Linked DNA regions of Oryzias latipes. The protein of the gene in region 1 binds, or shares a complex with, the protein of each later gene. Links are inferred from orthologs where the notes say so. Each region holds a gene or a part of one and is shown on either strand. Other genes may lie near its edges.

The links.
Region 2: gtf2h3 (region 1) and gtf2b share a complex: the UniProt entries of both Homo sapiens proteins name them as parts of the TFIID-containing RNA polymerase II pre-initiation complex. The link is inferred for Oryzias latipes from reciprocal best matches to the Homo sapiens genes GTF2H3 and GTF2B.

What each region holds. Positions count from the first base shown.
Region 1 is NC_019867.2:12,037,526-12,053,821, reverse strand, and holds gtf2h3 (general transcription factor IIH subunit 3), read right to left. Parts: upstream 9,775-16,296; 5' UTR 9,550-9,774; coding exon 9,541-9,549; coding exon of another isoform or gene 9,540-9,540; intron 9,466-9,539; coding exon 9,382-9,465; intron 7,090-9,381; coding exon 6,983-7,089; intron 6,824-6,982; coding exon 6,681-6,823; intron 6,442-6,680; coding exon 6,379-6,441; intron 6,080-6,378; coding exon 6,050-6,079; intron 5,962-6,049; coding exon 5,933-5,961; intron 5,862-5,932; coding exon 5,787-5,861; intron 5,521-5,786; coding exon 5,467-5,520; intron 5,260-5,466; coding exon 5,191-5,259; intron 5,116-5,190; coding exon 4,980-5,115; intron 4,898-4,979; coding exon 4,861-4,897; intron 4,735-4,860; coding exon 4,665-4,734; 3' UTR 4,396-4,664; downstream 1-4,395. Other genes in the region: rab5 GDP/GTP exchange factor, read left to right, coding at 1-245; psmd9 (26S proteasome non-ATPase regulatory subunit 9), read left to right, coding at 2,437-2,562, 2,640-2,739, 2,994-3,187, 3,267-3,368, 3,557-3,645, 3,867-3,894; Rieske domain-containing protein, read right to left, coding at 10,711-10,998, 11,145-11,179, 11,308-11,529, 13,418-13,490; uncharacterized protein LOC105354722, read left to right, coding at 15,257-15,978, 16,099-16,261. UniProt on the Homo sapiens protein: Component of the general transcription and DNA repair factor IIH (TFIIH) core complex, which is involved in general and transcription-coupled nucleotide excision repair (NER) of damaged DNA and, when complexed to CAK, in RNA transcription by RNA polymerase II.
Region 2 is NC_019875.2:5,814,383-5,829,860, forward strand, and holds gtf2b (transcription initiation factor IIB), read right to left. Parts: upstream 14,380-15,478; 5' UTR 14,301-14,379; coding exon 14,284-14,300; intron 13,637-14,283; coding exon 13,524-13,636; intron 11,807-13,523; coding exon 11,673-11,806; intron 10,574-11,672; coding exon 10,427-10,573; intron 10,113-10,426; coding exon 9,983-10,112; intron 9,553-9,982; coding exon 9,271-9,552; intron 9,097-9,270; coding exon 8,963-9,096; 3' UTR 8,403-8,962; downstream 1-8,402. Other genes in the region: pkn2 (serine/threonine-protein kinase N2), read left to right, coding at 2,869-3,045, 3,164-3,226, 3,298-3,374, 4,250-4,392, 4,461-4,568, 5,559-5,639, 5,728-5,931. UniProt on the Homo sapiens protein: General transcription factor that plays a role in transcription initiation by RNA polymerase II (Pol II). Involved in the pre-initiation complex (PIC) formation and Pol II recruitment at promoter DNA.

The DNA.
Region 1 (16,296 bases):
TCAGTGTGCAGCTCCAGAACTGGGTTCAAGATGTTCATTGTCAGATTGACCAAGCAACCGCCCAGTTTACCAAAGCTCAGGTGGAGATAACCGCACAAGCTGAGGTCTCACAGCTGGCTTCAGTATCAGATCAGGGTCAACACAGCGAAGGTGATGATGAAGACCACTCAGCGTCGGTGCTTCAGGATCATCATGGAGCTCCAGAAGATGAAAGACTGTCTTACCAGAACCTCCACAAAAACTAGGAATAGAACTAAGCTTTCAGGAGAAACTTTATTTATCTAACAAATTTGCACACGCACTAACTAACTCCAGAAGGATCCATTAAAGGCACCTGACATTTCTCTGTATTATTTCTGAACATATTTGGATTTGTAATGACTTTAACATTAATTTGCACTAATGTTTTAACATGAAGACAGGGAAATCCTGCCGGTATAGTTACATTAGTAACTTGTAATGAAGTTACACTGAACACTCGGGGAAGGTTAATGGGGGGATGACACTTAAGGGTGCCTACTTCATAATGGTGTTTTCTGTGTTCACTGTGAATATACTCTAATGTTGCAAAATAACAGATTGAAATGTGAAATTAATTTTGTGATCACTACAAGTGACGGTTGTGATTATGCTACAGCTGTATGATCTTTTTTTTTTTCTTTGCAGATCAGAGACACAGTTTCTTATTTTTCCCATTTGTAAAAGTTGGTTACAGCATATGAAGTTTATGAACATTAAATAAATGTATCTTAATCGATATTCGTATGAACTAAGAAATTAAAGATTATATTTGTTGATTGAATGTTTTATGCCTTTATTTTGAAACTTTTATGTATGTGAGACTTTATCAACAGATAAAACATTAGAATGTTGTGGGCAGAAAATGTTTTATCTGGCCTCTAATGGAATGAAAGATTCCTAAGGAAAATGAAACTATGTATGTTTTTTTTAAACAAAGATCTGAAGTGAAGAGATGCTTTGTCACATAGTATGAAATCAGTTATCTTTAATGCCAGAAAGTCAAAAGATAATCAGACATTTTTGTATGAATTTAATAGTATTTCTATTCTGGAAGAGTGGATGAAAGTTGTGGATATCTAGAAATGCTGTAATGAGGAACTTCAGACTTTTAATGTATTTATCTGTTGTAGAGCAGCATCAGATTCACTAAAGGAAACTAATGGAGGCTGGTTTTGAGGCTGATTTTGTGCTGGAGCAGTTTTGGTAAAGTTGTCAATGTCAAAATATGCACAAGATAATTCCCTTACAGATTTTTCTTATCAGCAAATAAAATAAAAGTCTCCTCCATGGTAGCTTTAACATTGATTAAGAATATCATTCTTACATGATGCAATTACATTTAATTTAATCAATGAAAACCTTTTATTATAATTAATTTACCCTACTAATGGGCATTAGAATGAAAGTTCAGGGCATTGACTTGCAGATATTTAAAAAAAAAAAACAGTGGAATTTATCTTTTGGGGATTTAATGGAATTGTAGTCACTGTGCAAAAACAAAACCACCCCCCCTCCACGCACACACAAACACACACATTTGTCCCTTTTATGATATTTTTAAAGATGTGTCCGTTCTGCCAACATCATTTGAATGCACAGTTTTCACAGCCATCCTCTTAATCCTAGAAACCCACAAAATCTGGAAGCGGTAGAAAGAAACAACATTGAAATCTTACGGTCACTTTTGATGTTTAATATTAAAGAGATACTGAGTAGACAGTGAGGAACAACACATCTATAAACATGAATTACTGCTTTGTTTTTTTTATTTTTTTATTTACCAAGGCTGTGTCCCACCAAGGTGGGGTAGCCTAGACAAGGCACACAATTTTAGCTCCCTCTGTCTCTTCCCCAAACCCTCCTCCTTCAGTGTGTGTGTGTGTATGTGCGTGTGACTGGTCTGAGGCCTGGTCTAAGCCACACCACACTGCACCAGGGTCAGCTGCACACTCCAGTGTGGGCACCTCCACAGCAGGGCCTCAGCCAAGGCTGGTTTCCCCTTGCCGCTTCATCCCAAGACCAGACCTCTACCACACCCATCCATTCATCCATACACAAGCTCTCTCCACCCATCCCTGTCCTGAGCAGCCTCTCTCCCTTGCACCACAGTCATCCCTCTTGCATTCAACGCTCTTCTTACACCCTCAGTCCATCCCATTAGCCGGCATTAATCATAATTTATATTAAAAAACAGGATACCAGCACTTAAAAGCCACATCGCAGATGTCATGTCAGAATCAGGTAGTTACATTTTTTTAAATTCCCAATTTTCTCATGTCGAAAAGAAATAAAAAAAATAAAATGTTTACCCTCCCAACCAAAAGGTGGCGGTAATGCATCAATCTGTCAACAGCGTTCAATAACAAAGACGTGCGTCACAAACCGGAAGTCCAGAGCTAATAGCCATCAGCAGAAATGAAGATGACAGAAGAAAACTCTCTTGAAAGGTTAAATGTAACGATGGATGATGTGAACGCTATGATTAAAAAAAAAGAAGAAATTGAGGAGCAGATAAAGGCGTACTATGATGTCTTAGAGGACGTAAGTTGGACACAAAGTTACATAAACTCTTTGGGTTTCGAGTTTCCAAAATCAATCATTCTATCGGTTTTTTATAGCAGGGGGTTGGAGTTGAGGGTCCACTGGTTGACGCTGAGGGTTACCCACGAGCGGATGTGAATTTATACCAAATCAGGACGGCGAGACACAACATATCATGTAAGCATAAGATTTTTGAAACACATTTTATTGAGCTTGTTGTGTATAGAAAATAAATATAACATTCAACAATCCGACGAAGATCATGATCCTGTATAGCTTGAACCAAAAGTTCAAAACTTATAGTCAATAAGAATTTTAAACAGCAAAGACTCTTTAGTTTAACTATTTATTTTTGCTGTATTTTTTTTTCTTCATTTCCCCCCTTTTTTGTTAAACTTTTATGGCAACAGACGTTATTTCTTTGTTTTCAGGTCTGCAAAACGACCATAAGGCCATCATGGCAGAGATAGAGGAAGCCCTGCACAAGCTGCACGCTCGAGAGAAGGCCAAGCGAGAACAGGACCAAGCAGAAGCCACAGAGGAGCCCATGGAGCAGCAGGTCACCCTGCCTCCTCCTTTTGCACAAGTGGACACCGTGACTGAAGGTTCACCTGCCTCTGCAGCGGTTAGTGAATTTTAGCTTATTTTGTATTCTCAAAGAAACTATTTATACTACTTTAGATATCTTTTTTTTCCCTTAAAAGGGCCTCAAAGTTGGAGATGAAGTCATTGAGTTTGGCTCTGTAAACACCAAGAACTTTCAGAACCTCCAGAATATTGCATCTGTCGTGCAACACAGTGAAGGGGTAAGTTTAGATGTTGTCCTGCAGGTTTATATTGAATATATTAACATTTCTATTTTTCTTCTAATAAGTCTGTTTTGTTGCCACAATGTATTTTGCTTTCAAATTAAAACATTTTTCTTAACAAATTTCTGTTAATTCCATAAGAATTTAACTAAAATGGGAATCTCTTCATCGCGTTTCTGTTGCAGAAAGCTCTGCGTGTCACGGTTGTAAGGGCTGGCCAAAAGGTTCAGGTGAATCTCACCCCACAGCGATGGTCCGGCAGAGGTCTGCTGGGGTAAGTAAAAAGCATCTTCACTGTTACAAGCCCTTGTTTGGATCAGTTCTTGTAGAACCAGCTTGATCTAAATTTAAAAGGGGCTAAAAAACAGCCATTTTATGAAATGAAATACTGGTAAACCAATCCTTTACCATACTTTCTTATTGCTGTTTTTGATTTTTTTTGAATAGCTACACCTAAAGTCAAAACCTGTTCATGTTTCTCTTTTCATTTTTTAGATGCAACATTGTTCCTGTCCAGAGATAAACTACACAACTTACATTCTGGAACTTTTCCCCCACTTTCCTTTTTGAGTGATTTCCCAATGACTTTGTATACAAGAGCAGAATATGGGACAATAAAGAACACTTGAGATTAAATATTTGGCAGACAGTTTTCTGCATTTGCAAAAGTTGGGACTGTTAGTTTTCCCTTCTGCATAACAAAAATAGATTTAGATTTTTCTATATTCTTCATCTTGGTTGAAATTAGTGACTGACTTTAGGATACAGTGATTAAAGAAAAAATAAAATAAGGAAAAATATCTAAAACAAAATGCAAATGCTTTGCAATAATCTGAAATTGTTTGATTGAATTTGGCTTGTTTTTTTCATTAGATTTTTCACCCCTTTTCATGTAATGGGAAGAACTTTTTTGTGTTTGCAGTGTTAAAAATGTCATCTAAAATAATAAAAAAAGACAAAATTGCAACCTGTGTTCTATAGATTCCACACAATAATGCTTTTGAGACAATCAAGAAAAACGAAATTTTAATTCAAATAAAATTATAGATTTTATTTATTGAATCAAAAAGTACAGTTTTTTCAATTTACAAGTAACAACTAAGATATGGGCTGAAAAATATTTAACTTAGCATGTTCCTAAGTCGTCTGTGACATTGGTATGAATGACAGGTGAAAAGTCTGTCTTGACATGTTTGCATTTTCCAGCCCGTTTAAAATTTCAACAAATCTAAAACTACAAAAGTTTTTTTAAGTGACGACAAAGAAGTGGTCTGAATAACATTGGAGGGGCAATCATGCAGGCATCTTGAGTTTCTTCTTTTTAGGTTTGACCATCTGTGGCAGTTGGATTTTAAAGGCAGTCCTGAAACAACACAAAACGAGACTGAACAGTCTAAATGCACAAAGTTCAATTGGTGCTAAATGTCCCATTTACTGGCAGTACAATTTAAAAGCCGGATTTGGTAGCTTGGAAATGAAAAACACTTACTCGCATGTTGTGCAGATCGGGCTGAAGTTACAAAATACTTCAAGAAGAGATGAGAATGAAGTGTCAGTATACGGGGAATTTGTTGCTGAGACCTCATAGTGTGGCAGTAAATCACTCACTTGAAAGACAAACAGAGCATACATAACCAATTTCGATGAGATTACGGTGGCAGAAGCACGCTGCTCTGTAATCTACATGCGCAGGGGGTGGCAATACTAGCTGGGAACGCTGCTCTGAGTCTGGGAGGAACACCCACTGGGAATAAAACACAAAAGTATGGACCTTAAATCACATGTGCTGCACCAAAGCAATGCGAAAATTCACTCTTACCAAAAGATACTGAGTCAAAGCTAATTTTTGAGGTATCTTCAAGTACAGGCCTCCAGTTATATCACAAGCCTAGAAAACGAAACAAAAACCTCTTTTCAGCTCTGGTAGCGGAAATGCTGTACAACTGAAGAACAAGGAGGCAAAACTCGGTCCTCCTGAATGTTGTTGTAACCCACATCAGCTGGCAGTAATCCGTTCAAAAATGATCAATCCTCTTTGTGCTGTAAACGGTGACACTAAGCTCTAAATGAACATGTCGGAAAAAAAAAAAAGTACCTGCTGAAGAAGCCCTGAGTCTGAGTCCAAAACACAGGCATCTATCAGGATGTTCTGTTTCAAAAAGAAGACAAAAATTCCTTTATGATGACTTTATACACAAACGCACACATACACACAAGGCCATTCACACCAGATCAAAGCCCACAGTGGCATGTAGTTAAAACAAAAAAAAGTTCTATCATATCTGGTTTTACAGCGTGACGTCAAAGTCTTTATATTAAAGTTGTCACTGACGTATTTGACAGTACGTTTATTTAACAAAAACAGTGCATATTGAGTGGAGATTAAAACACGTGAACCTGATTTCTCCAAGTTACCTGCTTTTGTGCAGCAAAAATGACATTCATGAAGTTCATGTATTGAAGAGCGCAGTCCTCAGCTGCTTTGATCACCTGTCCAAGACAGGAGATGAGCTCAGGGTCTGACGTTGTCAGAAACACTCACAAATGACTTTAGGACTTACCAGTATTCTTGATTTAATCTCCTGTCCAACTAAAAACACAAATAAACGCAACTTATTTTGTAAGGGAATAAAACAACAAGTTCAAGTCAATACCTAGTCCAAAATGAGTAACATTACCGTCAAGTTCTTTTGAGACCCTGTAAATATCTGTATTCATTAGCATTAAGGAAAATGTATCAAACAGCTCACATTAACATTTGTTACTTTATAAAATAGGAAGATCCAACCGGCTTCTTTTCATCAGGGAAACAAAAATTGGGCAATTCTTAGGGAAAAAACACAAGTTTCCACCTGTTTTTCAAATAAGCAGCAAAAGTATGTTAGTATTTTTAGCCCTTTTACACTTCATCCCATATATGATGTGACCACAGAGGTATTATAAAATAAACTGTTGGTGTGGATTTGTTTTTTAGAACGACAACAAACAGAATAGATTGTAAGGATACAGCAGAGAGCTTTGGCAAGAGATCCGGCCAACAGAGTATCCGTGGAATTGCCCCTCACTTCAGCTATAAAGAATTACAAGCATTGATTAAATAAAATACTCAAACCACACTTTTAATTATTATTTTGACTATAACAACACATTTTCAGCAAAGAAAGCTTTGTCTGCTTATCATTTAACCCTTAGATGACCCCAACCTTGCATTGACGTGTTCTCCCTACCATGACAAAAGTGGATAAAGGTGGAAAGATTTCATGTAATCCATGGACACAAGGGTTAAAAAGAAGAATGCGTGTAATTTACTTTTTGACAGGACATTTCGGATCTCTTCAGCAATGGCACTGTTGGCTACGGCCAGGAGCTCGTACTTCCCGTCTCTGCTGGAGGATGTGTCCTCTGCAGCTCCGCCCCCTCCTCCCAAACTCTTACTGGGATACAGGAAGTGACTGAATGGACAGAGATCAAACAGAAGCCATAAAAGCAGCAGAACATTAACCAGTCGGTACTTTATCTGTGGAAACTAAAACGATTTCAATAAAACAAACATTTCAGTTTTAGTGAAACTATTAGCTTGCACTAAATATATGTTAAAAACAGAAAGTTACCTGTCTTGGCAGTGGCTGGCAATAACAGCCAGTTTGTTTGTTCTGGTCAAAGCCATGTGGGAGTTTCCCATCACCATGACTCCATCCAGGCACTTGGACAGAGTGAACTGGACAATGAGAGAAAACAGTTTTTTCTCCAATATATATTGTCGAATTTCAAATATTGTGGATCCAATACATTAAAAAGGTCATGAGGGCTTCCTTTAGCCCTACTTCAGTTAATAGTCCGATTTTTAACTTTGTTAGGCCATTCTGGCTTTTAACAAAGCCATCTGTGGCATTTATCAATTTATACTTTCAACAGAAATAAATTAGGATATAATGCATCAAAACAATAGATGTAGAATAAATAAAAACCACATACTTAGCGGTTTTAAAATTCTTCTTTAGTGAAGTTAGTTTAAGGTGTTATTAGTCACCATGAAAACATACAGTGGGGCAAAAAAGTATTTAGTCAGCCACCAAGCTCTACCACAAAAAAAAATGAGAGGCCTGTAATTTTCTTCATAGGGAAAACCTCAACTACGAGAAACTTCTTCCTCTTTCGGCTTTTCCCATCAGGGATCGCCACAGCGAACAAGTCGCATGGTAAACTTGGCAATGTTTTACGCCGGATGCCCTTCCTGACGCAATCTTCTCAACGCAACCGGGCTTGGGACCGGCACAGAAGTAGAGAAGGAAACAGGGAGCAGCCCGGATTTGAACCCTGGTTTCACGGACGGAAGGCGCCGCAAACCAGCACGAGCTAAACCGGCTCCTTCACCTACGAGAAACAATAAGAGAAAAGAAAAATCCAGAAAATCACTGTCTGATTTTTTTTTAACAATTTATTTATAAATTATGGTGGAAAATAAGTACCGGTTTGTGGTTAATAAAGAAAGTTCAACTCAATACTTATTGTATTCTTATTATTTACCCTTTGTTGGCAATGACAGGCATCAAACGTTTTCTGTAAGTCTTCAGAAGGTTTTCACAAACTGTTGCTGGTATTTTTGGCCCATTCCTTCATGCAGATCTCCTCTAGAGCAGTCATGTTTTGGGGCTGTCGCTGGGTGACACAGACTTGCAACTCCCTCCAAAGATTTTCTATGGGATTGAGATCCGGAGACTGTAACGGCCACTGCAGGAACTTGAAATGCATCTTATGAAGCCACTCCTTCATTATTCGGGCAGTGTGTTTGAGACTGTTGTCACTCTGAAAAACGCATCTCTCTCCGTGTCATTCACGAGGTCCCCCTGTGTGGTTCTGGGATTTCTGCTCACTGTTTTTGTGATTACTTTGACAACACGGGATGAGATCTTGCAGGGAGCCCCAGATGGGGGGAGATTATCAGTGCATGGTAATGTATGTCTCCCATTTCCTAATAATGGCTCCCACAGTTGTTTTCTTCTCACCAAGCTGCTTACCTATTGCAGATTCAGTCTTCCCAGGCTTGTGCAGGTCAACAATTTGGTTTCTGGTGTCCTTAGACAGCTCTTTGGTCTTGGCCATAGTGGAGTTTTGAGTGTGACTGCTTTACGTTGTCGACAGGTGTCTTTTATAGAGATAACGAGTTCAAACAGGTGCCATTACTACAGGTAACGAGTGGAGGACAGAGGATCCTCTTACAGTAGAACCAGAAATCCTGCTTGTTTGTAGGTGACCAAATACTTATCCACCATAATTTACAAAAAGAAAATTCTTTAAAAATTAGACATTGTGATGTTCTGGTTGTTGTTTTTTTTTCTTTTCGTTTTGACTCTCATAGTTTAGGTATGATGAAAACTACATGAAAATATGATGAAAATTACAGGCCTCTCATCATCTTTTTAAGTGGGAGAACTTGCACGATTGGTGGCTGACTAAATAGTTCTTTGCCCCACTGCATACTAGGTACACAATAAACCTGAAGTTTATTTAGAAAGTGACATTTCCAGACTGATGCTACAATCTCAATCTCTGGGTTGCTCATCAGATTTATCCCTATAATTATGAATACATAAATATCAACTGTTAGTTTAATGAAATTTCACATTTAAAATACCGTGCTTCAGAAATCAAGATGAAAATTGAAGCACCATTGAAGTGATCTAATCCTTTGAAAAAGGAAAAGATCAATTTGGATGTGGTCAGCTGTACTCAAACGTATGTATAACTATAAACAATATTTTTCAAAAGTTGTCAACGAGAATAAACACATCCTGACTTTAGTGTGGTTGTTTATTATTTAAAAAGGCATCAATCAAAATTACGTTTAATTCTTAATTATTCCAATTTTTGTTTTCGTAAATTCTGCGTTTCTCTTTTTTTTAATTGATGGATTAGATCTATATTTTATGTGTTGTCCTTTACTTTCACTTTTATGCTTTTCATGTAGTAGATTATTTATGGGGTGGAAAAGAGAAAGAAGTGATGGAACCTCTGGTTCACGCTGAGCTTGCTGGCCCCACCAGATCGGATTCACGTCCACCACGATGACCAGCAAGTTCACTTCATCTTCTGCAAAACACGCGACGCGAGTGGAAGTGAGCAAAAGGAAAAACAAAAAACAAAAGTAATGTGAAAACCAAGACATACCTGATGCCATCACGAAATGTCATGAATTCAAGAATCAGAACTTAGTGGGTCTCCGGGCTTTAACTATTTTCCTTCCTCCATTCATTAAATTATACACCAGCTTACACTTACTGAAAAAGTTTTACACTCTTTTTTTTTTTGTTGCTAATATGAAAAAAAGTGCTAAAATAAAAACGAGATCCTCCGTCTTACCGTTGGCGCATACTTAGTGCGCAGCTTCTTCTTCTATTACTTTACAAAAAGCCAATCTCACTACTGCCACCTAGTGGAAATTATGTTTCATTTTTAGAGCTCTGTGATGTGATTGCTGTCTTTTTAATAAAAACAAAATTTAAAACGTTTATTATAAACCTAGGTTATGTCAGGATAAAATTGTACAGAAAAAATCTGACACGTTTGAATCCCGACAACAGCAAACTGACACATGAGGTAAGAAAGAATCACAATGAGTCATGAATCTGCTTGCTTGAGCAGCAAAATGTATTTTAGATGAACATTGAAACTTTAATTACGCTGACGCAAATAATCTTGTGATAATATGACTTTTCTAAACCAGGCCAGATTGTAAAAATTGCATTTTCCCATAAGTCAGCAGATCTTTTTAGCATTCCTTGGTGATCACAACATTGGAAGCTTAAAACTTTGCAATAACTGGTTCCTGCTTTTAATATAAATGCTGAAGATGGTAGAGGTTATGTAGTAGTTGAAATTTTTGTGACTTTTTAAAGCATTTATTGTGAATTTTTCAATTCAAGTTTTTGACGACTAACAATGACAAACATATTCTGTGATTATTATTTTATGTAACACAGCTGTCAGGATTACTGGCACCGTTATGCTGTAAGTACAAAAATAAAGAGTCAAATTTGTACAATAAAAAAACATATTGTTAAAAGAACAGACAGATTTGCATATTAAAATAACGTTAAACACAAACTCAATCAAACTTCGTAGGAACTATGGATGGATAAGGATCTATCTTTTTTATCCTAGACATGTTTAGGGTTCTTTACAATAATCAGTGATAGTAAAAAAAAGAGGATTTACAGCAGACAAAGCATTTACAAAGACACTTCTAAAAAGGGAAAGTAAAAAAAAAAATAAACAAAGCTACCTGATTAGCACAAGAACAATTAAAGTATCTTTAGTTAGACAGTGAAAACATTTTTTTTTATTGTTTTTTGGGTACCGGTTGTCCTTTCAGTGTAACAGGCCTGTATTTTTCAGTCTGATAAAAGTCAGATTCAATGGCCTCACAAGACTTATTCAGTGTTACAAATACATCCCCATTGATTTCTGTGACTTTATGAATCCTTTGTTTGACGCCTTTGGAACGCCAGTGAGTCCTCGGTGGCTTTTTGGTAGGATCATCCACTGCCTGGTAAAGCCCTTCCCCTTCTGCCAGGGTGATCTTGTAACTGTGCCATGGGCACACTATGCACAGCCGTCCATTAAACTCCTAATAACAGTAAGACATGAAGCTTGTGGTTAACATAACAACAAAAAATACTATTCAGAAGTTTTATTCTACAAAGAAAAACGTGTCAAGTGCTGTCTGACATGGTTAGGAACTTTTCTACTGTGCTTTTATTTCTATAAACTCACCTCGATGTCTCCATGCTGCAATTCACCACCAGAGTCTGTCAGTGGGAGATAACATGAGTTATTAGAGACTGTAGTTTTTTTCAGTATCATAGAAGGAAGTGCATGCCACGCCTCAAAATAATAGTTTGCCACACAGCGTATTGCTCTGCTGCTCAAAACTTACGATAACACCGCTTGTCCATTGCATAAAGCTGTCTATCGTGGTACAAGATGAGCACATCTCTACATCCGTTTAACAGCTTGGTCAGTCGCCCAGCCTTGACAATTTCTTCCTTCTTTCCAACATAGTGCAAATTGGGAGGAGATGAACACGGCGAGTCAGAGAGAGATGACACTGAAGAAGGACGATGGGAAGCCTCCTCCTCCTCAGATGACATGCTGATCCCTTCAGAGAACAGACGCCGCATAAGTATCACTTTTAAGGAATTTCTTTTGTAACACTTGCCACTTTTCTTCCAGTTGTGACACGAAAATAAGTTTTTGATAAAAACTCAACTGTGTTTGATAGAACAGTATAAAACCGGCTATGCTGAGTCAATCAGATATCTTTGTGTACTAATAATTTCCAAAATAATAAATTATGTGCAAATGGACATGCATTAATTTCATGTCCTTTTATTCTTTCTTTCTCTTTTAAAAATTACAGAGCCCTGGGCATGACATTCAAAAAAATTCTCTCTGATTAATAATTTGTGGCCACTAATCAGTATTTTGTGCACACAAACAGTAGTAATAATAATAATAATACTAATATTACTATACATGCATCTGAGAGATGTGTTCGAATCAGGTAGCAAGTTCTGTAAGTAATGAACCACAATTTTGTCATAAGTTATCCCTTTTTATTTATTAACCAATATCTATTTGAACTCAAATTCTATAATTTCTTTAGATTTTTTTATATTGAATTTTAGACATTTGGGTGTCTCAGAGTATGTGTTGGTCTGGGGAGTATTCCAGGAAGCATATTTAAACTACCCTGACTTTAAGCCTGAACTCTGGCTGAAATCCGCCTGAACTTGGTATGTTGGTTCCAAAAGACCGGATATGAGTTGTGGTAATTGCGCTCGACCTTGTAACCTTGGGCTAATGCGCGTGCACGGCAAGTACATAAAAACATTCTCAATGGATCGCCGATTTCTGGAGTCACCATGGAAACGCGTGGAGAAAAAAAGTTCAACCTAATTTCTTACGTCTACCCAACTCAATATTATTTTTACAACTCAAATTTACATATTCATCTAACTAAATGTCATATTACTCCAATTCAATTAAATGTTTTTCCATCTTAATTTATTGTACTTCTTGAACTCTCATATGTCTAAGTTTGAGCCTACAGATATACTAATTTTATAACAATAAAATTTCTCAGACTTTAACATTATGTCTCTAGGTAATACGGGTGCTAAATAAACTCATCATCCTCTTCCTCCCTCTCACTCATGGTGCAGAAAGAACTAAACATAACAGGACAAATAACTGGGCAAAACACAGTAAAACAGCTAAACAACTAAACACATTTGGACAAGAACCCACACTTAAACCCAAATCCGTCCAGACAGGCAAAGGGAATGGTATCCCACAATTCCTTGCGGTGCTGATCTAACAGTAGCACCAAAGTTAAACTTACTTAATTGAATTAATTTGAATGAAAGTAAAATAACTATGTGTTATTTTTCAGCTGACTTATTACTTAACTAAAAAAAAAGTATCTTAACTGAAGCAAATAATTAAGTTAGATCAATGTAAAAAGGTTTACAACATCCATATCATATGGTCTTATCACCCTCTCATGGTGGAAAAGTATTATCTGAGCTTCCTCATCCACTAAATCATCTTCAAATGGACACGCTATGCTGCTTCACCTCTCTGAAAACAAACTAAGCTTCAACTAAACCTGCTCCAGACCAGGTTATGTTCAGAGCATGAGTTGCTATGGCAACTTGACATACCCTAAAACATACCTTTTTTTTAAGAACCGAAAACTGAGGTTATCCACTTCCTTAGCCTCAAATTTACCGTGCTAACATGCATAACCTGCTCTCTGGAATACCCCCCTGGTAGTACTACTACCTAGTTATCAAATAAGTACTTCTTGCAAAACGCCTTTGCTGGGATTTAAGGAGTTAAAAATTTAACTTTATCCAGGCTAACATGCGATTTATCAAACTTTAGCCACTGGTGTCTTATCTTTTTTAAACAGACTTTGTAAAAATAATAATAATAATAATAATAATAGTAATAAAATAAAAAAAGGTAAGTAAAAATCTTACGGTGAAGGCTGGTGTTGTGTGTTTCATTCAATGATGTCCCCAGTGAAACACGGACCGGTTTGACACAAGCCATTGTTTCCGGACCTTAATTCTCCCATTTATTTTTATTTTTCATTTGACTTCATGTTATAAATTTGAAGGAAAAACAAGCAAAAAAAAAAAAAAAGCACACAAGCAGACAAAAAAGATATTTGGTTAAACATTTGGCCAGTTTTAAAATTTATTTTAAAAATGTCATCAAAAATAAATATAATCAATAACGTATCCACAATCTTTCTAATCAGAAAGAGTAAATAACACCATCTGATTTTATGAATTCCACTTTGTTTTCACTTGGTTTAGTCTGCTCATTCCTGGTCTGTCGGCTTAGACTCTTTGAAGGATTATCTCTGTCTCTGACTGCAATGTTGATCTGAGCATCGTCTCTCTGGATTTTCTGCCTTTGTTTGCAACATTCCGGTCGAGAAAACTAACGAGGGCAGCAAAGAAATTAGCGTTCTTCGCGTCGCCATGGAAACCTACTTGTGTACGGATGTGGAAATCAGGCAAACCAATCTGAAGGATAATTAATAGGTTTTGACACCTCAACCCTGCATCAGTGGTAATAGTTTTTATTGAAGTAATCATTGTTTTTGTTACTAGTTTCCTAAGCATTTTAACTGTTGTGACTTAACATACAAAATTAAACTTAATTCAGTAAGATTAATTAATATAATTTACATCTATAATTGTTTCTACAAGAAAGTTATTCATGTTATTTTGCTTGAATGTTATCAGTGAACTCAGAACAGCAGGAGGGTTTATTCATCTCTGTGTTATGGTTGTGGTTTCTCTTTATTCTGGTTTCTCTTTATTTTATTTATTTTATTTCCACTGGTGTTTGTCTTTGTCTATTTTATTGTGCAGGGCTAATTTAATGTATTTTATTGTATTTTATTGCATTTTTTTTGTTTTTATGTACAGCACCTTGAGCTGTCTTTGTTGTCATGAAAGGTGCTACATAAATAAAATTAATTTAATTTAATTTATTGAGGCACTGAAATTGTCAATATAAATCAAGAAATTAAAGTTTATCAAATCAATGAATATTTATTGAATTATTGCTGGCATTGATGTGCTCTGTCTTTAGAGTAAACAATATTTTAAGCCTCTCAGTGGAACCAGCTTGAAGAGGGTTTTAGTCTTGCCATATGGCAACTTTATTTAGGCTTATGGGTAATCTACAGTAGGAGTAAAGTGTTGCTCACCCATGTTATCTATATTTATCTTATTTGCCACTGTAAAGAAATGTGTGATGACTGCACAGTGCTGCTTTGGCACTGTCCTGCACAAGTATCAAATTTCCACCACTGCATTACGCCACTGCATGCTTTGCCTAGGACCAAGCGAGCATGCCGGTTGCAGTGACAAAGTGAGAGACCATTGGCTGTAATTCTGAGAGAAATCCTTATATTTAGTTTTTCCAGCATACCTACTAGGTTGTAGTTTTTTAATTAATTTTGATCCATGAATATGCCACCTGGCTGGGCATTGTTTTTATCTAATGTGACCAGTTAATGAAGAAACCAAAATGTATTTTTTCTTCTAGAGAGCAGCCGGAGAATAGGCATGAGATGACATGACCTTTTGGTTGTACGGGTGTTTGAGAACCTTTGGACTAGAACATCACTATGCTAGGTGAGTAAATGTAGGACATCAGCGGAACTGGTCTTTCATTATCTAAAACTGTTTTCCTCTTTGTCTTTTACTGCCTTTAGGTTCATTTTGTTGGGTGTTTTTCATGCAGACCACCTTTGAGCATTGAAAATAGAGGATAATCCTCTCCTAGGAATTCGCTCAATGGAAGATTGGATCCAACTTTTCCATTTGGTCAACTTTGACAAAAATATTAACCCAAACTACGGATGTGATGCTCAGGACTTTATACCAATAAATGGGAAACTCAGTCAAAATTCCCATGAAACTTCGGAAGACAAAGTGAGAAATAAATGTAGAAATTCTCAGGAAATCACGGATACGTTACCTTTTAATGTTTGCAGACGTCTCATCTTAACTAATGAAAACTCAGCCAACGTGAGGCTGTTGTCTGGTCTATCTAGTCTTACACTATCTAGTCCTGTTATTTATGTCAGTCAAAGTCATGATGTAGAAGATGGTTCAATGAAAGTAAGCAGATTGAACAAACCTGTACAGCTTGAGATTGATGGCAAACATCTGGGAAAATGTGTCCGGAGAAGGACTAAGAAATACAAACTGGAGGATAATCGTTCTCTGGGTAATGATCATAATAATGACACCATAAAGTCAGAATTAACAGGAGGAATTCGGAAGTTTAACTGCGATACCATATCAACAAAGAACAGCAAGATATTACACAGCCCTGCACACGTGACACCAGAGTCGTGTAAGAAAACATTTGAAAATAAATGTACAAAAGTCTCCACAAAAGAGAAAATGTTGAATTCAAGCTTGACTAAGCCCCCACCTGTACATGGAGCAAAGACAACAAACAGCTACAGCAATATTCAGGCCTGGAGTTCTCCCTTTGCTTCAAACAAAAAGTAAGTTGCATCAAATGTTGTTACTGCTGTTTTTTGGTTTATTTCTACTTTGTTCTCATTCAATAACACAAAACAAATGCTTCTTGCAGACTTTAAGCTTTTATTTTCTTTGTGTGACAGACAGACTGTTGGGCAACAAATTACTGTTTGTGTGAGGAAAAGACCTTTGTCACATGCAGAGTGCAAAGGAGGAGAAGTTGATGTTGTGACAGCAACAGACGGACAGTGTGTAATTGTACATGAAAGCAAAGAAAGTGTGGATCTTACACCCTACATATTACAGGTAGACGTGCACATAGAGGATGCTGATGGATCCTT
Region 2 (15,478 bases), on another chromosome or scaffold:
GCACCCTGTCATACGCCTTCTCTAAATCTACGAACACACAATGCAGCTCCTTCTGACCTTCTCTGTACTTTTCCATCAACATTCTCAAAGCAAAAATGGCATCAGTGGTGCTCTTACGGGGCATGAAACCATACTGCTGCTCACAAATCTCCACCTTCTTCCTAAGCCTGGCTTCCACTACTCTTTCCCACAGCTTCATTGTGTGGCTCATCAACTTTATTCCTCTATAGTTGCTGCAGTTCTGCGTGTCACCCTTGTTCTTAAAGATCGGGACCAGAACGCTTCTCCTCCATTCCTCAGCCATCTTCTCACTCTCTAAAATCCTATTGAACAACCTCGTTAGAAATTCCACTGCTGTCTCTCCTAGGCACTTCCATACCTCCACAGGTACGTCATCAGGACCAACGGCCTTTCCGCTCTTCATCCTTTTCAGAGCCTTCCTAACCTCATCCTTTCCAATCTCTGCTACTTCCTGCTCCACAACAACCACATCTTCCTCCCTTCTTTCCCTGTCATTTTCCACGTTCATCAGCTCCTCAAAATACTCCTTCCATCTTTTCTGTACACTCTCCTGGGTTGTTAGCACCTTTCCATCTCTGTCCTTAATCACCCTTATCTGTTGCACGTCCTTCCCATCTCTGTCTCTCTGTCTGGCTAGCCTGTACAAGTCCTTCTCTCCTTCCTTTGTGTCTAACCTGTCATATAGCTCATCGTAAGCTTTCTGTTTGGCCTTTGCCACCTCTCTCTTCACTCTACGCTGCGCTTCCTTGTACTCCTGTCTACCTTCCTCAGTCCTTTCTACATCCCACTTCTTTTTAGCCAACCTCTTCCTCTGGACGCATTCCTGTACTTCCTCATTCCACCACCAAGTCTCTTTACCGTCTTTCCTCTTTCCAGATGACACACCTAGCACCTTCCTACCTGTTTCCCTGATAATCTCTGCTGTAGTTTCCCAGTCATCTGGAAGCTCATCCTGACCACCCAGGACCTGCCTCAACTTCTGCCTAAATTCCTCACAAGTTTCTTCATTCTGTAGCTTCCACCACTTGGTCTTCTTTTCTGTTTTCCCTCTCTTCTTCTTCCTGACCTCCAGAGTCATCTTACACACCACCATGCGGTGCTGTCTGGCTACACTCTCTCCTACCACCACTTTGCAGTCAATAACCTCTCTCAAATGACCTCGTCTACATAGGATGTAGTCCACCTGAGTACTCCTACCTCCACTTCTGTATGTCACTCTATGTTCCTCTCTCTTCTGGAAGTAAGTGTTGACTACAGCCATTTCCATCCTCTTCGCAAAGTCCACCACCATCTGTCCCTCCAGATTCCTTTCCTTCACACCAAACCTGCCCATCACCTCCTCATCACCTCTATTGCCCTCACCAACATGCCCATTAAAGTCTGCTCCAATAACAACTCTCTCTCCTCTGGGAAAACTCTCTATGACCTCATCCAACTCACTCCAGAATCTCTCCTTCACTTCTAACTCACAGCCAACCTGTGGCGCATACCCACTGACTACATTCACCATCACCCCTTCGATTTCTAACTTTAAGCTCATCATCCTGTCTGAGACTCTTTTCACCTCTAGAACACTGTTTACAAACTCCCCCTTCAGAATCACTCCTACCCCGTTTCTCTTCCTATCAACACCATGATAGAACAGTTTGTATCCTCCTCCAATACTACGTGCCTTGCTGCCCTTCCACCTTGTCTCCTGCACACACAGTACATCTACCTTCCTTCTCTCCATCATGTCTGCCAGCTCTCTGCCTTTCCCTGTCATTGTGCCAACGTTAAGAGTCCCTATTCTCAAACCTATGTTCCTGCCTTTTCCCTTCTCTCTCTGGCCATGGACCCTTCTGCCTCCCCTCTTTCTTCCACCAACAGTAGTCAAATTTCCACCGACACCCTGTAGGTTAACAGCATCGGTGGCGGTCGTTGTTAACCCGGGCCTCGACCGATCCGGTATGTCTAAAGTGTTGTGGATGATTCGCATGGTTATTTTGGCAATTTTTACGCCGGATGCCCTTCCTGACGCAACCCTCTCTATTTATCCGGGCTTGGGACCGGCACAGAGGCAACTGGCTTGCAACCCCTGTGGCTAGATTAAACTCTTTTTGCTCCTGAATTGTTTTAATTCCTCTCTTAATTTATTTCATAATTTAACCCCTCTTATTGATTTGCAAAACTTTTTTAGTTATATTTATGGAATAGCTTTTAGTTTGAATTGATCCCTTGAAGACAGCTGTCCGTCTCTCCTAAAATCCATGGAAACTGGACCAAACGGTTGAAGTCCTTTGTTCTCTGATGTCTGACATCGAGCACAAACACCTGCATGACAGGTGACCAACAGTTTCAGCCCCACATTGTCCTGAGGGGGCTTCATAAACAAACAGGTGTCATTAGGGTGGTCCCACATCTCAGCTCTGCCATGTGGACCTTCAGCTGCTTTCATCAGGTTCCTCTGACGCCAGCCGTGGGGTCTCACCAGTGCAGCGTTCGAGTCCCGGTGGAGCACCACTGCTGGACCTGCAGAGACGGTTCTGAGATGGTTTCTCAGGCCAAAGCAAGGAAGATGATTCCCTGTTTGGTCTTAGGACACACATCAGCATCCTCTCGCAGTCAAACCCAGAAATAATCAATCATAAATACTTCTGAAGCTTTCCGTGTTGTTTTTTCAGCTGCTGTGACGTTTTTCAGAAATGAAAGCTAAACTTGAGCGTTTGTCCTTCCGTTGATGAGCTCCTGGTAGATCTGCTGGATTACTGCAGGGGTTCTGAAAGCCTCCTGGGGTCCCGGCTCAGACCAAACGGGTCTTGACGGCGTTTCTCTGGGAATCATTCTGGTTTCTGTCTCTGTCCTCAGCCTGATGTGCGAGAAGAGGATCTTTGAGACGGTCAACAGCGTCCGCCACCCCTTCCTGGTCAACCTGTTTGCGTGCTTCCAGACTCCGGAGCACGTGTGTTTTGTGATGGAGTACGCGGCGGGAGGCGACCTGATGATGCACATTCACGCCGACGTGTTCTCAGAGCCGCGGGCTGTGTGAGTGGCCGCTCCGCCCCGCTCCTCCTCCTGGCGTGGCGTTGACAGTAAAGTGCATGAAAAGGTAGCCAGGCGAACGCTGGTCTGTCGAACTGACGCCTTCATCTGATCTCTGCAGGTTTTACGCTGCCTGCGTCGTGTTGGGGTTACAGTTCCTGCATGACCACAAGATCGTCTACAGGTAAAGTTTTAGCGTCGCTTTTGTGTGATGTGCCGCTTCGTTTGTGACGTTGACCTTGTAACTTTGCTCAGAGACCTGAAGCTGGACAACCTGCTCCTGGACACGGAGGGTTATGTGAAGATAGCAGACTTTGGGCTTTGTAAAGAAGGTGAGATGAGAATCTGTTCTAAAATGTAAAAGTTATGAGATGAAGTGTTATTTTAAACATGTTCTTTCTCTGTGAACTGTTTGCGTTTGGAGCTCAGACTGAAGAGCAACCAGTCGTCCATCACAGCAGTTGAAGCAGCCGTTAGCGTTCTAGCTGCTAAGTGCTAGCAGAGCGTGGCAGCAGAAGGCGCCACGTTCTGCGGGCACCGCCTCGCATCAGGTGGAGCGGCGGCTGGCGGTTCAATCAGACTGAAAAATGCTCTAAAAATATCGAATGGCGTGTATTTCTTTAACCTTCCTTAAAGGTCGTAAACGCTTTACAGCCACATAAACACACCGCTAGGCTCCGCTGCCGAATTCGGACGCCAACCTGAAACCACCAGGAGCAATGTGGGAGTCAGTGTCTTGCTCAAGGACACTTCAACACATGGGCGTGCAGAGCGGGAACCAAACCTGTGATGTTACGATCAGAGGTGGACCGCTGCACCCCAGCCGTCCCATAAATGAAATCCCGGCTGTATCAGAGCATCAGCTGAGTGCCGCTCACTGATTGGCTGAAGAGTTTTCACTTTGCTACCTGACACACGCAAACTGAAGGGGCAGCGGCCGACCAGGTGTTCAATGATCAGACATGGATGGACCCCGCAGAGGTGTGACCTGTCCCAGGTGAAAGTCCTGCAGTTCCAGCGGCTCCTGGTCGGGAGGCGCGGTCCACATTCCTGGCGATTTGGGTTTTTCCATTCATGCTTCATGTCCGAGTGAGCCTTTGGGGGGGGGGGCAGAGTTTCCCTGTGGATCAGAACCCTACTTCCTGTTCGGACCCAGAGCGTTCTGACGCGTCGGTCCTTCTTTTCTGAACGTCTCTGCTTCCTCTAGGAATGGGCTACAGGGACCGGACCAGCACCTTCTGTGGGACCCCTGAGTTTCTGGCCCCCGAGGTGTTGACAGAGACGTCGTACACGCGCGCCGTGGACTGGTGGGGGCTCGGCGTCCTGATCTTTGAAATGCTGGTTGGAGAGGTGAGCCGTGTGTCCTCAGGCCGCTCAAAGAGTCAACTCTTCATCACCAATCCCTCATTTGCTTTCAGTCTCCCTTCCCTGGTGATGATGAGGAGGAGGTGTTTGACAGCATCGTCAACGATGAAGTGCGCTACCCACGGTTTCTGTCCACAGAGGCCATCTCCATCATGAGGAGGGTACGCGGTCAGCATGAGGGAGGAGGGGGGTCACGGCTGAGCGTGTGCTGCACGCGCTCAGTCCACCGTCACGCACCAGAAATACTTGCTTACGAACGCAAAACAGACAAACGCGCTAAATCTGAACTCAACCCAACCTTCCATGCTGGGAGTCAAGCAGGAAGGCATTGGATTCAAACCTGCAACCTCCCAGTCAGGGTGCAGAAGTTACCACCTCTGCTAGAAAAACAGAGGAATTACTACAAAGTGTGTTAAAAGCTGGCTGAGGATCAAACAACACGTGTGTTTTTAGAGGAGCAACGCGTGTGTGGCATTCAGACAGGGAGGCCGATTGTGCAGGTTTGGTCTGTAATGTTCAAAGAAAGGACACAGTTCCAGAATCTGCATCGTGGATCAGAGCATTCAGTGGGAGAATCTGGGACTAAAATGGTTCTTCATCGTCCCGGGTTAAACTATATCCATAAAGATTTTCATATATGACCTTTGGAACACTAAAGAACCATTTTTAATAATGTTTTATTCCTGAGTTAATTTTCCTACCAGGAAGTAATACGACTCGATCCCTGAGGCTCCGCCTCTCTCTCTTTGTGTGTGCCGCCCATTTTATGACATCATCAACAGTGTGTCTGTGTTTCTCCCACGAAAAAAAACTTTTCCAAAGATGGATGTTCATATTGTTTATACATAAAAAAAGCGTTTAGCCGATCACCGCTAGCTCCTCTGAGAAAGTGGGCGTGTGCGTTAGCCTGGAGGCGGGGCTGGAAGCCCAGACTTTTCCTGGAAGGGGTGGATCTCAATTAGTGATGTCACAATATGAGAACCTGCTCCTTTGCATGGATTGGGCGGGGCTTTTTTAGGGAAATACTCAGATCAAAATACCACTTTGGAGTTGATTATAGTGAGGAATTAACATTCTAAAACACTTCAAAACTTAAAAAGTTGATTGTTGTATGATATCGGCCCTTTAAGTTTAACCTTTTGAACTCTCAGCTTCTGAGGAGGAGTCCAGAACGGCGTCTGGGAGCAGGAGAGAAGGATGCAGAGGAGGTGAAGAAACATCCCTTCTTCAGGGTGAGCTTGAGTCTAGTCCGTCTTGGTTTTAATCTGATTGATCCTCAAACTGAAACAGAAAGCTGAACTTCCCCTGCTCCCCGTACAGAACATGGACTGGGGCGGGCTGTTGGCCAAGAAGGTGAAGCCGCCGTTCGTGCCGACCATCCAGGACGCCAACGACGTCAGCAACTTTGATGAAGAGTTCACCTCAGAAGCTCCCATCCTGACCCCCCCCAGGGAGCCCCGGATGCTGAACTCGGAGGAGCAGGGCCTGTTTTCGGACTTCGACTACATTGCTGACTGGTGCTGATTTCACCCCAACGTACTGTGAAGAGCGCAGCCTTCTTCCGGAGCGCCTCCTCTTTCCTGCCGACATGGAGAAAGGAACCGTGTGCCATTACAGGAGTCCAGGAGAGGCCTGCAGAGGACAGCGGGCGTTTTAACCCACACGAAGAGCTGTTTTCTCTTTTAAAGAACAAATGAATGACAGTGACAGACTGACGGCGGCGGCGGCGTCCGCTGTCTGACCACTGAGAATGTTTTTACCCTGGAACGCTGAGGAGACGCTTCCACCACAACCACGTCTGTAGCCGTGTTCGTACCGGTTGTCCTGTGCCGACTGTTGCTCTGCAGACGACTTGGCCTCATCTGGGTTGAACAGAAGTCTCCCATCAGTCACTTACAGCAACCTTGACTACTACTTCTTCTTCTTGACTTGAAAACCAAGCGAGCCTGAACGCCACACTTCCCTCCTGGTTGTTGGAGTTCAGGTCGGTTAACCCATCAGGCCAGCCGGCTCTGCATCCCACGACTTCCTGCAGAAAGCAGAAACTTTTCAGTTCAAATGCCTTTGGCGCCCTCTAGTGGCTCCGCGTGTTTTCATTACCTCGACACAGTTAGCGGGCGGGACTGGACCCGGTCCAGCTGCCAAAACCAAAATGAGCTCAAGGGGAAGCGGCTCCATGAAGCCAGTGCAGACCGCTGCCGTGTTTCCATGGAGACCGTTTTAACGTGGCGTTGTTGAGAACAGCAGTCTTTCAACGTGACTCTGACCTGTTGACATGAATCACTTCGGGGAGGGGGGGGGGATATGTTATATACATACTGTATGTACACAGTTGAGCTGAAAGCACTAATTTTATCTGTAGTTAAAGTTTAGCAGTTCCTTCATGAGAATAGATTGTACAGTTGTTTTCTGTCTGAACGGTACACCCATCAGTCCCACCTGCTGCCGTTCGTCTCCTCTCACTGTTTGTTACCTATCATGAATGCACAAATTAAACCTTTGGAATAGTGGCTCTGCTTTCAGCCATGATCTGTAAACTCCTGAGGTCTGAAACATCGGCATCACCTCCTGCTGCTCTGCACTAAAACTCTCAAACCTTCTGTTTCAAATCATGATGCAAACCGATTTTATGTAACCCTTGTGCTATCCTGGGCACTTTAACATTGGGAGTTGGGTCATCTAGACCCACTAGACAGTGCTCTGAACCTTTTTTCTTCAATGATTTGTGATCCTCACTGGTGTCCATGGATTAAATGAAATCTTTCCACCTTTATCCACCTTTGTCATGGTAGGGAGAACACGTCAATGCAAGGCTGGGGTCATCTAAGATAGCACAAGGGTTAAGGGGTGTATGATTAATCCATTTTTGTGCCTACGACCCAATCAGATCCATCTGTCTGAGGCAAATCGATAATCAGGTTGACTTATTCCATTAGGAAATCCTTTCAAACTGAGAAATTGATCATCTGTAATGGAAGATACCATCTAGATTGAGGTGGGGTAGGTTTATGTTATTCTAAGATAAAAAACGACCAATCACAGCAGACAACACTCATGTGATGTCATTAACACGGATCAGTCCATCATTCCAGTCCAATGTGTGGAAAGACTTTGAATAAAGTCATGTGACCATCCAGTGTCTAGAATGTTCCCTTTGGATTCTCTGGATGTGGAAAAACAACAGTGGACTGAACTTTAGGAAACTAAAATTTGAATGGATTTAACATTCATTCTAGTTGATTTGTTTGTTTGTTTGGACACAGATTTCATTTCCACTTGATGATCTGGAAGAAATCCAATAATCTGGAAAACTTCACTGTTCAGTAGCAGGAATTTCTGTCTGAGTCTCACTGCTGGAAGTTTGGATGAAGATGATCTGGATCCACTTTAGGTCAGAGGATCAGAACGATCAACATAAAACCATGGTACCCGTAGAGTCAAACATCGACTGTTTTGTCTGCTAAACCACTGAATGCTTTTGAGGAAATTCCACCAGAAGTCACAGGTTCAAGGAGAAAGAACAGGTCCATGTTTATGTGCAACATTTGAAATGTTGATCCATGTCATGAAAACCTAAATCTTATTGTGGAACAGAAGGAATTGGTTAAATTTAAAAAATCTGATGGATTTTTGCAGAAATAAGAAATTTCAGATGAGATCAACAGAGATGCAGGAGACTCCAGGGGGTCCGGAAGAGACTCCAGGGGTCCACAGGAGTTTCTAGGGGTCCACAGGAGACTCCAGGGGTCCACAGGAGACTCCAGGGGTCCACAGGAGGCTCCAGGGGTCCACAGGAGACTCCAGGGGTCTGGAAGAGACTCCAGAGGTCTTCAGGCGTGCATAAGGAGTCCACCGCTCTGAACGGCTCAGGCCTTCCCAGAGGGTTTGGTGGAATGAGGCTCCAAATAACTGAAGGTAGGAAATATCTTTGGCAAAAGCTTTTGATATTTTTCAATAAAACGTAAGCAGAAACTTCTTAAAATTTACACAAAATGTAAGAATTCCAGTTTTATCAAAAGATTTTACATTTTGAACCTCTGGTTATACACAGGAATCTGAAAGTGTGAGTTACGTCTTTGGGGTAAAGAATCCATCAGTGAGAAACGTAATGCTGAAGACAAAGTTGCTCACAAATTTGTCAACATTTTACCGTCCTTCAGAAACATTTCAGCAGAATATTTGCAGAACTTTACAAGATGAAGATTTTTTTATTTTTTATAAAGAACCGTTTATTGTTATTCAAACCACGAGATGATTCATGAAAATCGTCATCTTAAATTACTAATTCAAACAAAATAGAAGCTGCTTCTTTTCTACAAAAACAGTCTTAGGGGTCGAGTCTGACACCAGCCTAAAACTGCGAGCATGGCCCCCCCCCTCCGGGACATTTACACATGGTACAGTCTGTACACACAACTGAAATACTAAACAACAGTCTGGAATGTGTGTCCACTTTATTCTGTCGAGGGATCCTTCCTGGCTGAAAAATCCTCCCACCTTCACAAATTCAAAAGCAGAACCAGAGACGGAGGAAGAGGTTGGAGGTTGGTCTTCCTCACAGCTGGGGAAGCTTGTCGACGGGGGTGTCAAACTTGAAGTCGGGAGGGAAAAGTTCAGCAGCGCGGGGGTAGATGAGCCTGTAGGACTGCCTGATGGTGACGTCCGCCACTCCAGCAATGTCTCCAATTTCTGTAGAACACAAGAACCCGGTCTGTAAACTATCCAGAACATCTGCTCCAACAGGAGAGGATGGACCCAAACGGTCCCCAGCCTCATGTTGCGTTTAGGTGCAGACGGACCTTCTCACCGGTCTCTAACATTGGTAACATTGACATTTGGGTCATTTCTGTCGTGTGGTCTCACCTTTCTGAGTCTTCTTCTCTGCAGACGCCTGAGACGCCATGTAGATGGCTGCTGCCGCCACGGAGATGGGGCTTCGACCCGGAACCAAGTCCAGCTCCACGGCCTTCCTCGCAATAAAGGTGGCCGCCATTTGAACCTGCTTGGGCAGGCCCAGGTTGGAGCAGAACCGGGACATGAAGTCCCCCGTGGTGATGAGGTCCACGCTGGTCTCCAGAGCCTTCAGGATCAGCTTGAAGCACCGACCAATCTCTTTCTTGGAGATTCTGGAGACGGCACAGATCTCTGCAGAGAAACGCTGCCGTTAGCTTGGACGTGTTGAAGAAATCTAGGGATGGCCAACATTTGCAGTTCAACGGTATCGGTCTGATATTAAAAAATCTACCGATATTTTTCTGACTGTTTTCAGGCAAATGTTCTTTTTGATAGAGATATGTGTTCTTAATAGATAGACCTAGTTGAGGGGGAGTTTATGGTTACAGTTATGTCCAATATTCAATAAATGCTCTGAATGCTGTCAAATATATTTACATGACGGTTTTAAAGTGAACCATGTTCCTATGAGATTCTGTGCTGTATGTTAAAAAAGTCAAAGTGATTGTCCAGCAACCTCTGCGTTGTTGTAGACACTTGAGTATCTGCAGACATCACCCATCAGCTGCAGGGGGAATATCTGTTGTCGGTATCGGATTATTATTATTATAAACTGGCTGACCTTTGAAGGTTCTGGGGACTCCTTCCTGTCTGCAGGCGATGTAAAGGCAGGCGGATGCGATGGCGTCGTTGGCTCGGCCCTTCAGGCTCTTCTGCTCATAAACTTGCTTGAATAAGTTGTTGGTTCTGTCCTGCAGAGCAAAGACGTTTGTGAAGCTCAGACTGGAAGTGTCATGGAGGCATGAGCAGTCAGGACCCATGCAGAATGTTTCAGGCCTCTGAAGAGGCCTCCTTCTTCCTAGGACCTGAACCTCAATGGTGTTCAGCTTACATGAAAACCTTTATCGTTGACCTGCTCTTAGGCTTCATGCGGTTTTTAGACATGAAGGAATATGAAATCTAACACGGCGTCAGCAGCAAAGAGGAGGGACAGGAACCGAAGTACGACCGCGCTCAGAGGGCGGGACTTAAACGGTCAGCTGATGTGCTCAGATGTTCCACTCACTACGATGTTCCGGGGCAGGTTGATGCGGTCGGCCATGGTGCTGATCTCTTTGAAGGCGTGGAGCATGGCCCGGTCCGAGCTGCTCATGGTCCGCCGGTTCTGATACTTGGAGTTCCCAAATTCATCAAAGCTTGCAGACCCGGTTCCCTGGAGAGAAGAACCCAGAACCCACATGTGGATGAGCCGTGTTTCACAAGAAAGTAACTTTACTGCAACATGAAAACCAGCAGCAACATGAAAAGCAGAAAACCATCAACTTCATGGTGAACGCACAGATGAAAGACATTCACCCACAAGAGGGGATACGTGCCATCCAACCCTCCCTCCCTCCCTCCATCCATCCCTACATCATCCAACCATCCACCCATCCATCCATCCATCCCTACATCATCCAACCATCCATCCATCCATCCCTCCCTCCATCCATCCATCCATCTATCCATCCATCCACCCACCCCTCCATCCATCCATCCATCCATCCATCATCCAACCATCCATCCATCTATCCATCCATCCATCCATCCATCCATCCATCCCTACATCATCCAACCATCCACCCCTCCATCCATCCATCCATCCATCCATCATCCAACCATCCATCCATCTATCCATCCATCCATCCATCCATCCATCCATCCCTACATCATCCAACCATCCACCCCTCCATCCATCCATCCATCCATCCATCTATCCATCCATCCATCTATCCATCCATCCATCCATCCATCCAACCATCCATCCATCTATCCATCCATCCACCCCTCCATCCATCCATCCATCCATCCATCTATCCATCCATCCACCCCTCCATCCATCCATCCAACCATCCATCCATCCATCCATCCATCCATCCAACCATCCATCCATCTATCCATCCATCCACCCCTACATCCATCCATCCATCCATCCATCCATCCATCCAACCATCCAACCATCCATCCATCTATCCATCCATCCACCCCTCCATCCATCCATCCCTCCATCCATCTATCCATCCATCCACCCCTCCATCCATCCATCTATCCATCCATCCAACCATCCACCCCTCCATCCATCACCTGAACCACAGCTGTCACTCTACCACTAGGGGTGCAATGGATCACAAAAGTCGTGCGAGGTGCACACGAGGAGGTGGGGGGGTTATCTGCAGTAGACATGTGTGCTGAACCGTGGCTAGAGATCCGTAGGAATCATCCGTGATCTGTTGGACCCCTATCTACAGCTAACCACAGGTCTGCTGTCCCACCTTGCCGATCATGGTAGTTAGATCTCCTCCGTTGAGCAGAGGGTTCTGGGCGTCTCCCACTCTGGATGGATCTTTCTGAGCTTTCTCGTTGGAGAAGGTTCTCCACTCTGAACCCACATCAATGACCCGGTCACCTAAGGACAGAAGGCGTGAAGAACCAGAACCGTGATGTTAGAAAGGCTGAGTGGAAACTTTGATTACACGCTGAATTACTTGTAATTGATTTGAGCAACAATCTCGTTTTTCTGTTTAAACCGTACTTTGACGGTTCTGGTGGATATTTGTTGATGTGCTTTTGGTTCTTCTTTGACGTTTCTGAGGGATAAATTGTGCTACACTGATCTGTGCACACACTGCAGACGTACTGCTTTGTACTGTTGTGTGTAAATGATGCAGATTCATCATCAACATTAAAATAAGACAATCAGATAAAGAAAATGAAAACTGTGGTCGTTCCAGATCAAAGTCCTGGAGCTTTGATCTTTCTTTGGAGGAAAAATGGCTGAAAATAGATCCGTGATGAGAATAAAATGGACTTCCTTTACAGGTGACATAATTACCATAATTTCCGGACTATAGAGCGCACCTGATTATAAGCCACACCCATTACATTTTTAAAGGATAAACCATTTTGTACATACATAAGCCGCACCTGTCTAAGCCGCCCGCATGTGCCCACATTGAACCATGTGTTGTAGAATGGATGTGTACGTGCTGAAACCGCTCGCCGGCGTGTGTGAGAAAGAGGGGGGAGCTCGTGCAGCGGGATAGGAAGAGGGAGCATTCTCATTCACTCACGCTCCTTCCCCCTACACACCCAGTGTGCTGACACAAACACATACTCATTCTACAACACCTATGTAGTTAGTTCATTAGGTAGATTTAGTTGTTACTGTTATTTGTTAAAGAATAATGCGTTGTAATTATTACTTATACCGGTATTTATTTGGAAACCGCGACACCGTGACTTCTCCTGCTTCTTCATCACCGCGGTGATCAAAAATCCCACACCGTCACAGCTCTATTCCAAACAGTGCCTGTGACACGGCAGTAACACGGCAGCAATACGGTAGTAACAGCACTAACAGGGCTGGTTAAAAAAAACATCGTGGTAGAAGTCACTGAGAGCAGCAGTAACTTATTGGCGCTCGCCTCTGCGCAGCACGAACTTCCTGTGCACTGAAACCATGGAAGTCTTCCTCCTCAGTGTCGGATTGGAAAAGCGTCAGATATTCTTCACCACACACGCTCTGTGTCTCTCCTTCGTTGTCGCTGTCAGTGTCACTCTCATCCTGAGGTAAATTCTCTCCTGAGTCTGCACTGTCCTCTCTGTCACGCAGCAGACCGGCTTTTCCAAACCCGTTGGTGATGGTGGATTTTTTCACACTGCTGTTAACCATTGCTTTTAACTTGAAAGCTGCCTCATATGCATTTCTTCTTGCATTTTCCATGATGAGGGTCTGTTCGTGCTATTCATTCAGAAAGCGGGAATTTACATTAAACTTGTGTCTTCCTCGACACATATACCTTATCCCCCGTCTCACTCTTTCCTTTTCTGCTCGAGCGCCCCTAGCAGCCGTTAGAAAAAATGCATAAATCAGCCGCATCATTGAATAAACCGCAGGGTTGAAAGCGTGTGACAAAAGTGGCGGTTTATAATCCGGAAATTACGGTAGCAGGGAAAAAAAAGCTTTTAGGTTTGTTCAAAGCGCATGTGAAGGTCTGACTGTGGAGGCCAGGTCACACAGAACTCTTTACAGCTTCAGCATCAAGACAAACCTCTCCAGCTATGGACCCATTTTACCTCCAACAAATGTAGGCCAAGTACAGGTTTATCATTGAAGTACTCACCTACAACAAGCCCACACTCGGGGCAAATCATGTCCCCAGCGCGGTAGTCCTCCACCAGGATGGCATCAGGATGGTTGGGACATGTCACTCTGGGTAAACTGAGAGCATCTCCGCTGCACAAGCAAAACACAAATGATAACAAAAATGTTAAAAAGGAGCACAAAAACAACAAATAAATGACGAACAAAGAAAATCCCTTAAAGTCGATGTTCCGCTACATTCTCCAAGGAAGAAGCCAGACACCTTGATAGGATTAACAAATATTTATTAAGTCTACAAACAGCCTATGTTTCCAGTATTTATCAGTCGCCTGGTTCTGTAGTTGCTTGTGTCATCTACCCACCAAAACAAAACGCGTTGAATTATGGGAAATACCCATTTCACGATCGCTTCAACTTTCCTAGCATAAAGAAATATTAACGAGTTTAAGTCCCGGTAAATGTGCGGACGTGCGCGTTTCCACGGAGTTTCAGGCTGATCCAGAACTCCTTCAGGCCAACGTTCAGATGTCAGAGAAACGACAAAACCGGGAGTTCTAACGGGCAGCCTCTTCCGTGAAGCTGCCCGCGAGCTAGCTGGCTGTCACGGACGGAGTACAAAAGACTGAACATTCCCGAGAAGAAAAATGGAGCCCGACACTTTCTACCGCCAGAGTCCCACGGTCAATCACAAGACGCGGTGGTTTTTTACCACGAGACACTTTGAGTCACATTAACAAAGAAAACCGGGCTTTGAACGGTTAGCAGCCATTGCAACTCACCGACTTGTCGAAGCCATCTTCCTCCGCTCTCTTCTCCCGGACGGATGCAGCACTTGTACTTATAGACTATTCTGATCACGTGACCAACTACGGGAAGTCAAGAAGGCCAAATAAGTTTAAAAATAAATAAATAAATAAAGTCAAAAATATTGTGTCACCTTTGGTGAAAAAAATAAACCTGTCCCTTTCTTTTACATTTCAGACCCAAAGCGAATAAATCATCAGACTACATTGCCTGCAATGTTGTTGCCGTTTACACATTTGACAGGTCTACTAGAAAGTTGAAGTTGGGTGATCTTCTTAGTCTTCATTCGTGTGTTCATGATGAATACACACGTTGTGTGTTGTTGTGTTTCAGCTTTTCAGGTTTATGTTGACCCCACAGAGACCTTCAGACACCTGATCGACCATGAGGGGCAGGCTTTGGCCCCTCGCGGGCCAAAGGGTTGATGTGTAAATGAGCTTAGTTAAGGTCGGGGTAAACTAGTCATGGTTAAATTTGGGTTGGGGAACTGTTCAAACCTGAGTGTGTGCTTCAGTGTCTTTTTTTCTCTTTACATTGTTTTTTTTCTTAAGCTTCTTTCATTTATTTTTAAGCTAGCATTACTAAAACATTTAACCAATAAAAACAAGTTAAAGACCCACTTTAATGGAAATCACGTTTTTGGTGTTTTTAATATGTTCTAATGGCATTTTTCTCATGATATGATATGATGACATATATAGAAAATTAATCTTAAAACTGCATTTCTGCCCCAAAAAATGTTTTTTTTAATGCATTACTGTTCACAACACATAGAACAAGTATGTATGACAAGAACAATAGTCATAAAAACGGGACTGCCAGGGGATGGCATATATTACAATAGAAATATTGTAAAACACATCACAATACATTGAATATGTTCAAAGACAGAGAATTTTCATAAATACGTATTCCCTTTTTTGTTTGTGCTATTAGAAATAGTACATAAATACGATTCTAATTCTTTAATAAATACAGGGGGGAAAAGTTGTGAAATTTTGATTTGTTGATGTCTAACTTACTTTATATTATGATTGGATTAATTTTCAATTTTATGTTTGATTTTATGTTCTTTTTATGTAGGCCAAATATGATTCATTCAAATTTCATCTGAAATTGTGAGTCAAATTTGTGATTTATAAAACAAGTACATTCTTTCCAAAACTTTTT